2 linked regions of the Drosophila melanogaster genome follow. The protein of the gene in region 2 purifies or fractionates together with the protein of the main gene of each other region. This does not show direct contact. Each region holds a gene or a part of one and is shown on either strand. Other genes may lie near its edges.

Region 1 (5,489 bases), on a different chromosome or scaffold from region 2:
GAGCACAAAGTGAGTAGCATTTAAATGAAAATGAAATGCAGTTTGTTGTTCGCATTGAAAGTGGATATCGTCGTATGAATCATCAGTTTGTCGGCTAAAACTGCTCATAGTTTGTTCCACCGATTTCATAAAGTGCCTGATGGGGAAGACCCACTTCGAGCTCTCAGGAACTTTGCTTAAGTGGGTGTGCCAAGCTTATCGCTCTGAACACTGATAGCAATGGAGTGTAGTACAATCTATTAAGGATTCCATAAATTTATAGTCTCAACACTTTATTATAATTTATATGTATTCGACATGCGTTGTAAAAATGTACATATAGCATTTTTGCTATATATTATTTATACCTATGTTTAATCGGCTTCTTCACCTCGTCACATTTAAAGAATTTTGAATTTTTTTCCGATGTCAAACAAATTACTTAATAAAATCCAAAAATAATGCTCCAAATTCAACGACCCCAGTGAATATTTTTCACACTGAAAGCAGTTCATGGAAAATACGAGAGCTTTAGATGCTAGCTAGTTCTCTTTGAAATACAAATAAATGCGTAAACAATTGTCGAAAATGAAAACAAAACTTATCAGCTAAGTAGACACGAAATGGGGCACTTGAGTTCTGTTGCATGTGATGCATTGGCAGCCAATAAGGGTCAGAGGGCAATCGATCAGGCATTTTATGGGCCACTTGGCCCTCCCATGAGGACACTCGACTTAATGACAGTCGTAAAAAAGATCAACTTGCTCCAAATGCTGCGAACTTGGATTGCGGCAAACAGAGAACTCATCTGTTTCTTTTGGGGGATCGTGGAATCCCAGATGGGTTCATTTTGGGGGCAAAAAGAAACAAGTTTTCTTTTCAAAAACACATACACACTCTTCTATTTTGTGGGTGAGTCTCTCTCGGCCAAACTGACGCCATCAACCGGTTCGTATTTTGGCTACGCCATGGCATTTTTATTTCAGTTTTCTTATTGTTGACTCGCGTATCTGCAAGATACACAGCATGAGTCACGGAGCATGCAGATATATTTAATATTGCTTAAATAAAATATAGGATTTTCAAGCTGCCAAACAATGAGTACACATGTGATGTCATGTGGCAAACAAGTAAACTAGATATATATATATATATATATATATATATGTGCAGCGAAATGCATTCATTTCCCCATTTGATTGATGCCAAATGAAAGTGAGTTTTATTTCTTTTACGTCTTCATCGCACATTTTCCAATTACGTGTGCGTTTTCCTCCCATTTTTGGCGCGTTTTTGACCCTCAATTTGTTGAGGCGAGTTTCTCAACTCGTTTGGTTTTCAGTTTTCCGGCTTTCCTGTTAAATATTTATTAACAAACAGCAAATTGATTTGAGTTATGCTACGATTATGCCGTACAGTAAGACATGAAAATCGTGTTTGCTATTGCAGGTATGACTGTGATTATGTAATTAGTTCAATTTACACAGCTTAATTTGATTTGCTGATGCTTTGATAAGCGATTTGTGAGCCACCAAAGTGGGTTAACGCATCTTTGGCCGTAAGTCCGCTTTAATTACAGTCTTATGCAAGCCACTAATCTCAACCATGGTAATTAACCAGCTCAAAATACAACTGGGTTTACTCCAATGCGTTTCCTTTTGCGATGGCAATTTGAACAATTTGACTCATTTGCAGCTTTTGTCTTATCATTCAAATCGTTATTGTGATGAATCGTCCGAGAGTCTTTTAGCAATTAAGTGAATATAAACATAAACAGATTAGATGAATCAGTGCCGGGGAATCGTAACACCATTTATTTATAGACATTGCAAAATATTTGGAAAAATAATCATTTAATTATCAAACAGCAGACTTGTTACCAAAACCCCGAATTTCTACAATTTTGCAATGCTCTGCCAATCAGTTGAACAAAATGTATGTGGTGGCGAGAACTTTTCCGGATAACGATCATTTCCACATGAAAGTTAGCCAGCCATGCAGCAAACCAGCGACCCGGTATGAAAATGGATGGGGAATCCATTCGTGCTCCAAGTGCAAAGGAAGCGGTTGCAACAAGTTGTTGACACTCGGACCGAAATGAAATAAAATGAAATGATATATGTGGGTTGTGGCTGCGTGGTTGTCGGTGGGTTAAGGAACTTTACATAATGGTCATGTAGGTAACCACCTGGAACCACAGTGCCGGCCACACAAATATTGACACGCGATTGGGCGGTTGGTCCCCGGAGTGGGAATGTGACATGGATTTCACTCTCTTAAATATTTAACTTAGATAATGGTAGCTGGATGATTTACAGATACATCTGCTACTTGATAACTACTATTTTAAACTACAAAAAGCAGAAAGATTTGAACATGTTAGCTTGATTCTCAATCATTTTATAATATTTATTCATGCAGTTTGTAGTCACATTTTTTGTTTGTAACCAACTTTAAAAAACCTTTAATTAAGCTAAATATATCATATTTCTTAAGAATTTCTCTCCTTTTCCATCAAATCTATTACCACTTTCCGTTCAACTACCAAATTGAATTGAAATGCCACTAATGAATGCATTTAAAACCGAAAGTCATGCCACAAAAAGGAGAGTTTAGCACTCCAAATGAGCACGTAAATGGGTCCATTGAGTGCCCTCTGGAGTGGAACCGAAAACTCGGCGGGAAGGGGTTAAATGAGGGAGATAAGGTCGGCTTTAATTGAAACGCCGATAAGCAAATCCAGTTTAATCAAGGCGGAAAAGCCAAGAACTACGGTCAAACCAGTTTTTCCGCTCGCTAATCGATCAAAACAGAAGCCTTGAACTAGACCATCGACTGGAGGAAAAGTGGTTTTCCCAAAGGCGCGGAGTTCGCGGGGGGAGTCGTTTGTGATGTGGAGTGGAGATGGACAAGTTGGCGGAGGACAAGGCCAACGGAGGAATCAATAGATACGGTAAAGGTAAAAGTAATCTCTCTGTCTTTTGTTATTATTAAAAATTCTAGCTTAGCTTGTAATTCTTAAATAATTTAGAGGCAAACTTACCGCTTTCTCAGGTTATCCATGAACTTCTCCATGGACACTTGGTCGAGGAGGACGAAGTCCTGCACTCCAGCTTCCCGTTGCATAGCCATGGTGTCCTTTTGATCCTGCGTTTATTAGAGTTTAACTCGCGAGCGGAGGGTGCGGTATTCCGGGGATCGAAGGGGGGGATGCTAATTGCCGGCTGCAAAGGTGAGAGTCGAAAACTCAGGTAAGAACGAAAGGAGTATCCCGAAAAACACGCTGTTCACTTCGTTTTTGTTTTGTTACGTTTTTATTTGCTTGTTTTGTTTGCCTCGCCTTTCGCGTCTCGTCTCGAATTTTAACTATATATGCGTACAAATATAAATAAATTTATACATATGTATATATATATATATTCCGTGTGGCTGCTGCCAAGCGATTTTTATGTTTTATGAGCCAATTCGGGCCGCTTCTGTTGATGACGACGAATAATTCTCGGCGAACACGCAGTCACAGCGATCAATAAAGAATAATTCTGGATTTCTGGACCGATCGAACGCTTCCAATTGGAATCGAGCAGGAGAAAAAAAAAACAAGAACAAGATCGAAAGCAGAAATATAAATATAACGAGAACTCGATCGCAACCACTATCTACCTCACTGTTTAATGAAAACCGCAAATTTCGCGTTTGCCGCACGTTGTAAACATTTAGTTTTTGGGTTCTCCAGTCTTTGATATACGTGTATATATTTAAGGTCGGTGCAATATAGTCCGGAAGATCGGTGTGAGTGCCCACCTGGATTCAGTTTCGTTTGCGGCGGATTAATAACAACAATCGGCCGTCGCACAACCGCACTCGACCGCATTCAATGAAAGTTGCAGAGGGACTGTGGTCAGACATTTCGAATACGAAAATGTTCGCCATACGAAGCTGAAAATTGCCTAAATTGGCACTCCACTAATGGCTTGGAACTTGGCTAGTGCGCACTTCAACCAGAGGACTTACCTAATGCACTTTCCACACTGCCTTATGCTTGTGACAGTGGAAAAGTTACAGAGTATGGCGTACAAAGTATCGTTTTCCCTTGTTTTAAGATTAAAGATTGTTTTTTAGGATTAACAATAAAGAAAACACGGTTACATAAAAGATAAAACAAGCTTTCGATTTGGGAGTTTTGAATTGTCGCGCTTAGCTAAGTTCGGTCACACTGCACGCAACTCACCTCGAACAGCTGTTCTGTGGTGAACACAAACGTCGTTCTCGTAACATTTAATTTAGCTTAACTCATTGAAATTTTGGCATAAAATGAATAAAATTACGAGTGCCTTCATAAGAGTTCTGCGCCAGAGCAGCTCCTCAGGCGGCACAGGCAACCTTCTGGGTCGTCAGCTCTCCTACAAGAGCGATTTATCCCTGGACAAGATCTATCCCGGCGCCCGACTGCAAATCTACACGCCGCCCCCGCCGGTAAGTGGATGCAGTGCCTTCAGGGATCCCATCTATTGATATATGTATACATCCCCCACCCAGCCCAGTGGCAGCGACAAGTTCAGCGGCTTCATTCCCATGGACCGACTGGAGATCACCTACAGCAGGAGCTCCGGACCCGGTGGTCAGCACGTGAACACGGTGAATACCAAGGTGGATGTACGCTTCAAGGTGGCACAAGCGGACTGGATACCCGAGCAGACGCGCCAGAAGCTGCTCAAGGTGCTGGCAAACCGGATTACCAAAGACGGCTACTTTTACATCAAGAGTGATCTTACGCGCTCCCAGCAAATGAACCTGGCCGATGCGCTGGAGAAGCTGCGCACCATCATACGCTCCCAGGAGGCTGTGGCACCTGCGCCACCCAGCGAGGAGACACTGGAGAAGCTGCGCAGGCGCCAGGAGCGAGCGGTCCGCGAACGTCTACAACTGAAACGTGGTCGCGCCCAAGTCAAAGCGGATCGGCAGGGACCGAGCGGATTAGACTTGTAGTTTTTTATTGGAAATTGTTATACAAAGATGCACATTACACATATACGCTTAACTATGCTATGGACGCCATTGCAGGTTAGCACTATCACAGATTCTGTACGGACATACCCCCTGCTGGAGTATAACAACTAATTAACTTTACAAAATTGACACTTACATTATTTAAATATTATACAAAGATCTGTGAGAGTGGAAACCCAAATGGACTTGACAACATTCTAGGTCTGCTCGTCCACTCGAGCTGGTGTTACCGTAAATCTCTTGGAGCTCGCGACTTGGATGGCCGCATCCCTAGCTGGCTCGTCCTTTCCCACTTGCGATGGCATGCTCGCGAATCGTGGACGCTGGAATACACGAAATGAGCACTCGGGATAGACAAGACAGCTTTGTGTGCTACTTACTGGCTGTGGAGGACTCAGCTGAACGGAGACCTCGTGGCTCCGTTGCGATGGTCTGCTTACTACGCTGTGGCGTTGGCGTCGTTCTACTGCTGGTGGATTAAACCCTATTCTCGACGCATACAA
Region 2 (6,343 bases):
GCTGGGAGAGGCAGCTGTCAGTGATTATTATAATACACTTTCATCGAGAGATTTATTTTACTCAGCTTTGTTGTTTCCTTAGCGTTGTTCCCCAAGTTCGTTGCTTAAGTCTTTTGATTTTCCCCTAGAAGGCTCAGGAAACTGGCAAGCAGATTAGCCGCATCACATCAGTTATCGCGCCCTTCACCTGCACCCCTAACCCTACCCTTTCCACCCTTTCCACTCGTCACTCACACTTGTGATTTAGTGGGCGTGCGCAAGAGAGAGAGAGAGAGTCCGAAGGAAAAGGACGGGGCGAGCAAACACTTGTGTTTGACTCATTCATGTCAGGTGCCAACAGGCGGATAAATTGTTTGTGTATTTCTCCATTTCGCTGTGATTTCTGCCCGGCAAGAATATTAAAAGGCCGTACTTTCATGCTTTCTAGTGAAATTGAAAACTCATTTAAACAGCCGAAAATAAACAAATTGAAGACGACGCGGCCGTGGGCAAAATTTCACTTTCAACCAATGTTTTTAAACACCTTCTCTGTACTTTAGGATTTCGTCAGCTCAAGCTCAAAAATGATATGGATATGATTTTACAAGATTTCGGGCGGAGGCAGACTTGATGAAGTAGGAGCATCTGCGATTAGCTGGAAATGGAAAAGGGGCTGGGCAGAGGTTGTGCCTGGAGATAGGGGCGAACCAAATCAGATTAGCCAGGGAAATGAAGTGGGTTCTTTGAGTGATTACGAACTGCCTCATGCTCACGTTTTCTTGGCCCATCGACAAAAAGCTGCTAATGGGAAATTATGTCTGGCTGCATCACATAATGGCCAAGTAATTGCGATCGAAGCGTGGTGGCTTTCGGATGAGTTGGCACAACACCCATAAAAAGCCCTTCGAGTAGCAAATGGGAGATGGGAAATGGGAGAGTCGATTCGATTTGGCTCGGGCTGTGAGGATTGCATTAATCAATAGGGAGACTACCACTCCGACTACCTATGACTATGACGGATTCCTACTAATTTGCTTCTCGCCGTTCTCCTCTTTTCCACTTGCAGCCAAAGACTAATCCCAACAACGAAGCCAATTAGCAACAACAGGTGAGTAAGAAGTCATTGAAGACGGTTCGCTGCCGAGGAGGCAGTTGGTAAATGTTCGATAGGTCTAGAAAATCGGAAAATGAGTGCGCTTTACAGCCCATAAATATAAGTATGATACATCATTGAATAGTCGCTCTTCTATTTTCAACGATCAAAATTTAGACGTGGTAGAAGATGGTTACACCATCAAATTGGTTTTAAAATAATAATAGCATTTGCCTCTTCAACTGTTAAGGGTATCAAAAAGCTAAAAAAAAAAGGCGCGAATATCCAGCCAAAACAGCTAAAGAACGGATGGCCACCTCATGCCGTCGACTCCAAATTGAATGACCGTCAGCATTCGGTATTTGGCCAATGATCGTCGGTATAAGACAACAACATTGGCTCTAATAAGGACCGTTACATAAAAAAAAGAGATGATGAGAATCGTTGCTGAAAATCGGGAAGTGGAGATAGAGGGGCAGAGGCGGTGTTTTTACACGGCGGTATTGCCATGATATTTTATTTTTTGCATGACACTTGCAAAATCGAAACAAAAGAGAGGGAATAACAAACTTTACTTGTGACGACCTTAAATTGTTTTTGACTTTGACTTCGACTCTGGCGGCTTTGAGCCCACAATTGCCAAAGTTACCGGTGAACATGGCTATGTGCATGTTGCCGAACAACTTATCGAGCGGACTAACAATTGTCTGTTGTGTGCGGCTGATTTGCCAGAGCTAATTAAGTTGTTCGATAGACAGTTCGGCTGTCCAATTGTTTCTTGGCTTGGTTTCATGCTTCCAACTCCTTTACATTGGTCGGCTAGTTGTCTCCTTTCGAAGTTAAACTATCACTGGTTGGATTGCATTTGGGAATGAATCGCAGGTGGTATTCCAGTATCGTGGACCTTAGGCTCCGCTTGGTCTTCTAAATGCTCGTAGCAGTAAGCTCTTCGTTTCACACCCATAATTACCTCGATATCTCTTCAAGTGTCTCAGCCCTTGTGATTTCATAAATACCCCAGGAATGCACCCCGCACGCACATGGAAATGCAGCACCTTCCACCACCCACTATCCACCAAGGCGGCCCCAATCCGCGAGCCAAGGCGAGCGGTGTGCGGGCGGGAGTGCGACTGAGACTGGGACACAGTGGGGTCTGCGGCATTAGGCACAGAATAGGCTCAGAGCCCGCTTTCTGCCGTCGACCGGTTTCGCGTTCGCGTTGGAGCCCGCTCCGGCTCTCGGGCTCTCTGCTGGCACCTGTCGCTGCCACTCTGTCTTGGCCAACTTCTTCGGCTTGCCGCGGCGACGTGCTCGTGCTCGTCGTGTTGCTTTTGGCCAAGTCGCCGCTGCCGTGGGCACGTCTTGAGCGGCGAGCGTTCAATGCGCTGCCAGCCGTCGATAAGAACGCACGCGAGCGGGTCAAGTCATCCGGCAGACAGAGACCGGCTATGGAAAGCAAAACCTAAGGCTATAGGCTATATAGAAGTCGAACTGATTAAATCGGAAATTGGAAATACGCGCGCGCGTGTGCTTTTCGCAAAGCGAACGAACACTGTTTGAATACACTTTGTATGTCAATTTAAAATTTTTTTTTTCTTCGGATTAATTTTTTTTTGCATCAAGTGAATTGGCAATGAGCAGTGCGTGATGTGCGAATTGGTGCTGCATCCCAGTCCGCGGCAGAAGAGACTTGCAACGCTATAGTTATAGTTTTTGAATTCGAATTCCAGTGCTACAGAGCAGTATCATTATGTCGAGCATGAATCAAATGAGTGTCCTCATGGATAAGATCAACACGGTGAGTGCCAAGGGATTCTCTGGGCTTTTGGGGGCGTTAGTGGGTCTCTGGGTCGATCCACTTAAACCTGCCAAAGAGTGGACCTTTACACGAATTCGGTTCGGTTGTTTCGTTAAATTGAATCGCTTTTTGTGCAACCCAGTAAAATGGTGTGAAAACTATTTGCTACACTGTCGCCTCGAATACTTTGTACATTTAATACATCTATTGTTATATTCATAAACTATTTTGTTTGGTTAGGAAGTCTGTCTAGCTTCTGTGCTTTTACTTCGCAACCCCTTTTGCAATTTCGAAGAAAAGTTATTGGCTGAAGGGTAAGTCCCTCTTAACTGCTTTGGTTTCGTCACGCAGTTCCCTGCTGCACCTCTAAGGTTTTCCACCTGCTGTCTGTGAGCCTCGTATCGAGGGGGGGGGGCGAAGTAGATGAGGGGCAGGGAAAAGGGGGAATAGGCAGCGAGAGTCCGCTCTCACTTGACCAACAATTTAACGTCATTTGCATTCAAAAGTGTCGCCTAGACGCTCATAAATAAAATGAAATTGAAATTTTTGCGCCTCACTTTTCCCAGTCCCCCTTCTCCGATCGCCGATCCCCGATCCCCGATGCTCGGATGCCCGATGTCCGATGCCCGGGTACTCGACGTATTTTGATTGTGTGGAAATGAAAGTGAAATGCGCTCCAGCGAAATTAAGTGCCCATTGGCCGCCATCCCGCAATCCACCAATTCCCCCGCTCACTTCGCCCCTGATTTAAGTGCGGCTGAATGAGCTTCAATTGAATGAGCTGACGAAATGCCGCGCGCCGCATAACAAACATAAAACAAAAATCAAACGAAAAACAAACAAGTGGCCGACGTCCAATTCGGCAAATTATATGGCGGGATGGGATCGGTATTGGAGGTACCGAAAGTACTCGAGGTGCACTGCAGCCAGGCGTCTGCTGTTTGTGCAACAATAATTAATTAGTAATAATTTTCGGTTGCCTTCTTGTGTGCGAGTGTAGAAATGCCGATGGGGGGTAAGAGTTGGGCAATCTGAACGGTCGAGCCTCTGCTGGATCCTCTCAAGACCCATCCCATGCTATCCCATTCTCGCACTCTCGACCAGCACTTATTGGTTGCGATGAATGAAGCAGCTCCTGGCTTGGATTCGGCATGAAATTAGAAGACTGCAACTGCAATAGCTTTATAGCAACCCAGCTGACTGAAGTCCATCGAAATGTATGTATGGCTTTGGAAAGGAAAAAGAACAAATACTGCACAGCATAGCAATGGCATTTATCGCATATTTTACACCAACTCAACTGACACAACACCTCTATGCTGGTTGGGAAATGTCATAATACCACTTGTCTGTCCTACGCTCTACTTGTGTGGGTTTTCAATGACTTGTAGCTCCACTTCGGGCTGCGCTGAGTTTACTTCCTGGCGACACACTGACGCCTAGAGGGAGTTGGGCAACGGGAAGGGGCAGGGAATGGGGGCTATCATAATTCGCGATTGGAGGGATTATCCCCAACGAATGACCAATAATTAACGGCAAGTTCCGTTGTGACGTCAACTACCGCAATCTGCGCTAGAATTCCATTGAGCTTTCTCCACGAAATGCGCAGGTTGCATAATCTGCATCTGCATCAGCATCTGCATCTCGGCCAACTGTTTGCTTCTGCATCTGCAACTGCAACTGCCGCCAAACCCGCTCGCGAACTGGTTCGTCTGGCCTGTGGCCGCCTTATTTATGACGCAAGCCGCTGGCGGATTCTAGGCTCTAGGCTAGCTAGGCCAGACTGACATTGGCCTAGCCCACGGAGTAGTTCGAGGCGATACGGGGGCATTCAGCAGACGGACTCGATTCTCACGAGCACTGGAGCTGGAATGTGGGCCAAGTCATTGGATGGATAGTTAAATTATCTCAACCGGTGGCTTCACACTTGCTCACCTCCAATTACCTGCTATTTATATGTGGCACTTTCAGCTTGAGGCTGCAAGGCCTGCTAGTATTTCTTGGGCTATGCCAAAGTCTGCTACAAAAAAAAAAATATATCTATTGCATTATAGTGTATTTATAGTGTATGAAATAATAATATGGCATAGTCCGTAATCCGAACCCTAGACAAATCCAGACAGACCGCCAAGGTCTCCGGCCACCCGTCTCCTCGATTGTGGTGACCGCATCACAGAAAGTTGATTCCCGATAACGGATTGATATCACTACCTAGACACGGGAAGCTCTGACCCATATAGCCATATAACCCTATAGCAATTGGGCATAGGCCTGGCCGCACACGAACACTTTATACATTTTCGGAGCCCATATACGGAAGCCGTGCAATGCTAATGAATCGCTGCGAAAGCAACCGAAACCAGGCACCACCAGCACATGACCAAAACTAGACTGGGAAAAGTGTGTAATAATTTCCTGTCTCAGCCTGATTTGCATGTGAAGTCCCCACTCCAGCTCGATTTAATCCACTTGGACTTGGATTCGGATTCGGAGACCGCTGCTCTCCAATCCAATCCAATCCAATCCAATGCAATTCACTCTACTCCACTCCAGCTGGCCGTCTTGTTTGACTTACTTCATCATTCCTAATGGCAATAGATACCAAAGTATCTGCATGTAATGCGATCCATTTGCGGGCCACCTACGCTCCGAAACTTTCCAGAGTTTGTCAGAGATTTGAATTGAAATTTATGCGGACATGAATTAGCCGCCGCTGACCCGACTAATCAACTGGAAAAGCATAATTCCTTTGTTTTCGCCTTTTTTTTTCCGAGTGAAAGTGCCCATCTGACAGCTGATAACGCATTTGTTCGTGGATCGGATGTGGATGGGATGTCCGGCACATAAGCCAAGCAATTAGCAATTAAAGGTAACCATATCGGGACATATTAGGTTCTCGTTTATATAAAATGAGCTGAAAGCGATCGATGAACATTCTTTTTAAATTATATGTGAACAAGAAATCTAAACGATAAATACACCTTAAACGAGGAGTTCCATATATATAGTACAATACCATGTATCTCAGTATTTGCTCTGGGTAATTATCACATCAGCTGTGATAAGATTCCCCGCCACCTTGCTCTTCCACTCTTTCGCTGAGTATCTCCGCATCTTGGATGGCGTATCATTGTCAGTGTCAAAGCAAGTAAACATGCAAAGCAAGGCAAATATAGCTATATTTTGGACCGAGTTGGATAAGATACGGATCTCGGCCAAAAACTTTGCCCAGTTGAGAACCCAGTTCTGGGGCAGGAAGATGCAAACAGCCGTGCAAGTTGAAGTCAAGAAGCCGCCGCGAAAAAACAAGGTGAGGTTCAGTTAGTTTGGAATCGCGATTGGTTTCGTTCGGCAGGGGCCTAAGGTCAAGCTCGTTTTCCCTGACCCGCTGCCCCACTCGGCAATGGAGGTGGCAATCCCAACCATCCTCAACACGGTCCAACCGCTTTCCACGCACTCACGGCAGGGGCAGG

Evidence for each region. The genes of interacting proteins can lie anywhere in the genome.
Region 1: the proteins of DAAM (region 2) and Myo31DF purify together in Drosophila melanogaster (affinity purification with western blotting, with the first as the bait; one study listed by BioGRID). This does not show direct contact.

The regions. Positions count from the first base shown.
Region 1 is NT_033779.5:10,502,904-10,508,392, forward strand, and holds the start of Myo31DF (myosin 31DF), read right to left. Parts: upstream 3,877-5,489; 5' UTR 3,112-3,876; coding exon 3,023-3,111; intron 1-3,022. Other genes in the region: CG6094 (uncharacterized protein), read left to right, coding at 4,291-4,452, 4,516-4,965; CG7384 (uncharacterized protein), read right to left, coding at 5,184-5,309, 5,367-5,489. UniProt on the Drosophila melanogaster protein: Unconventional myosin that functions as actin-based motor protein with ATPase activity. Binds to membranes enriched in phosphatidylinositol 4-5-bisphosphate, and can glide along actin filaments when anchored to a lipid bilayer.
Region 2 is NC_004354.4:1,304,603-1,310,945, reverse strand, and holds the start of DAAM (dishevelled associated activator of morphogenesis), read left to right. Parts: upstream 1-2,473; 5' UTR 2,474-2,822; coding exon 2,823-2,870; intron 2,871-6,100; exon of another isoform or gene 6,101-6,180; intron 6,181-6,343.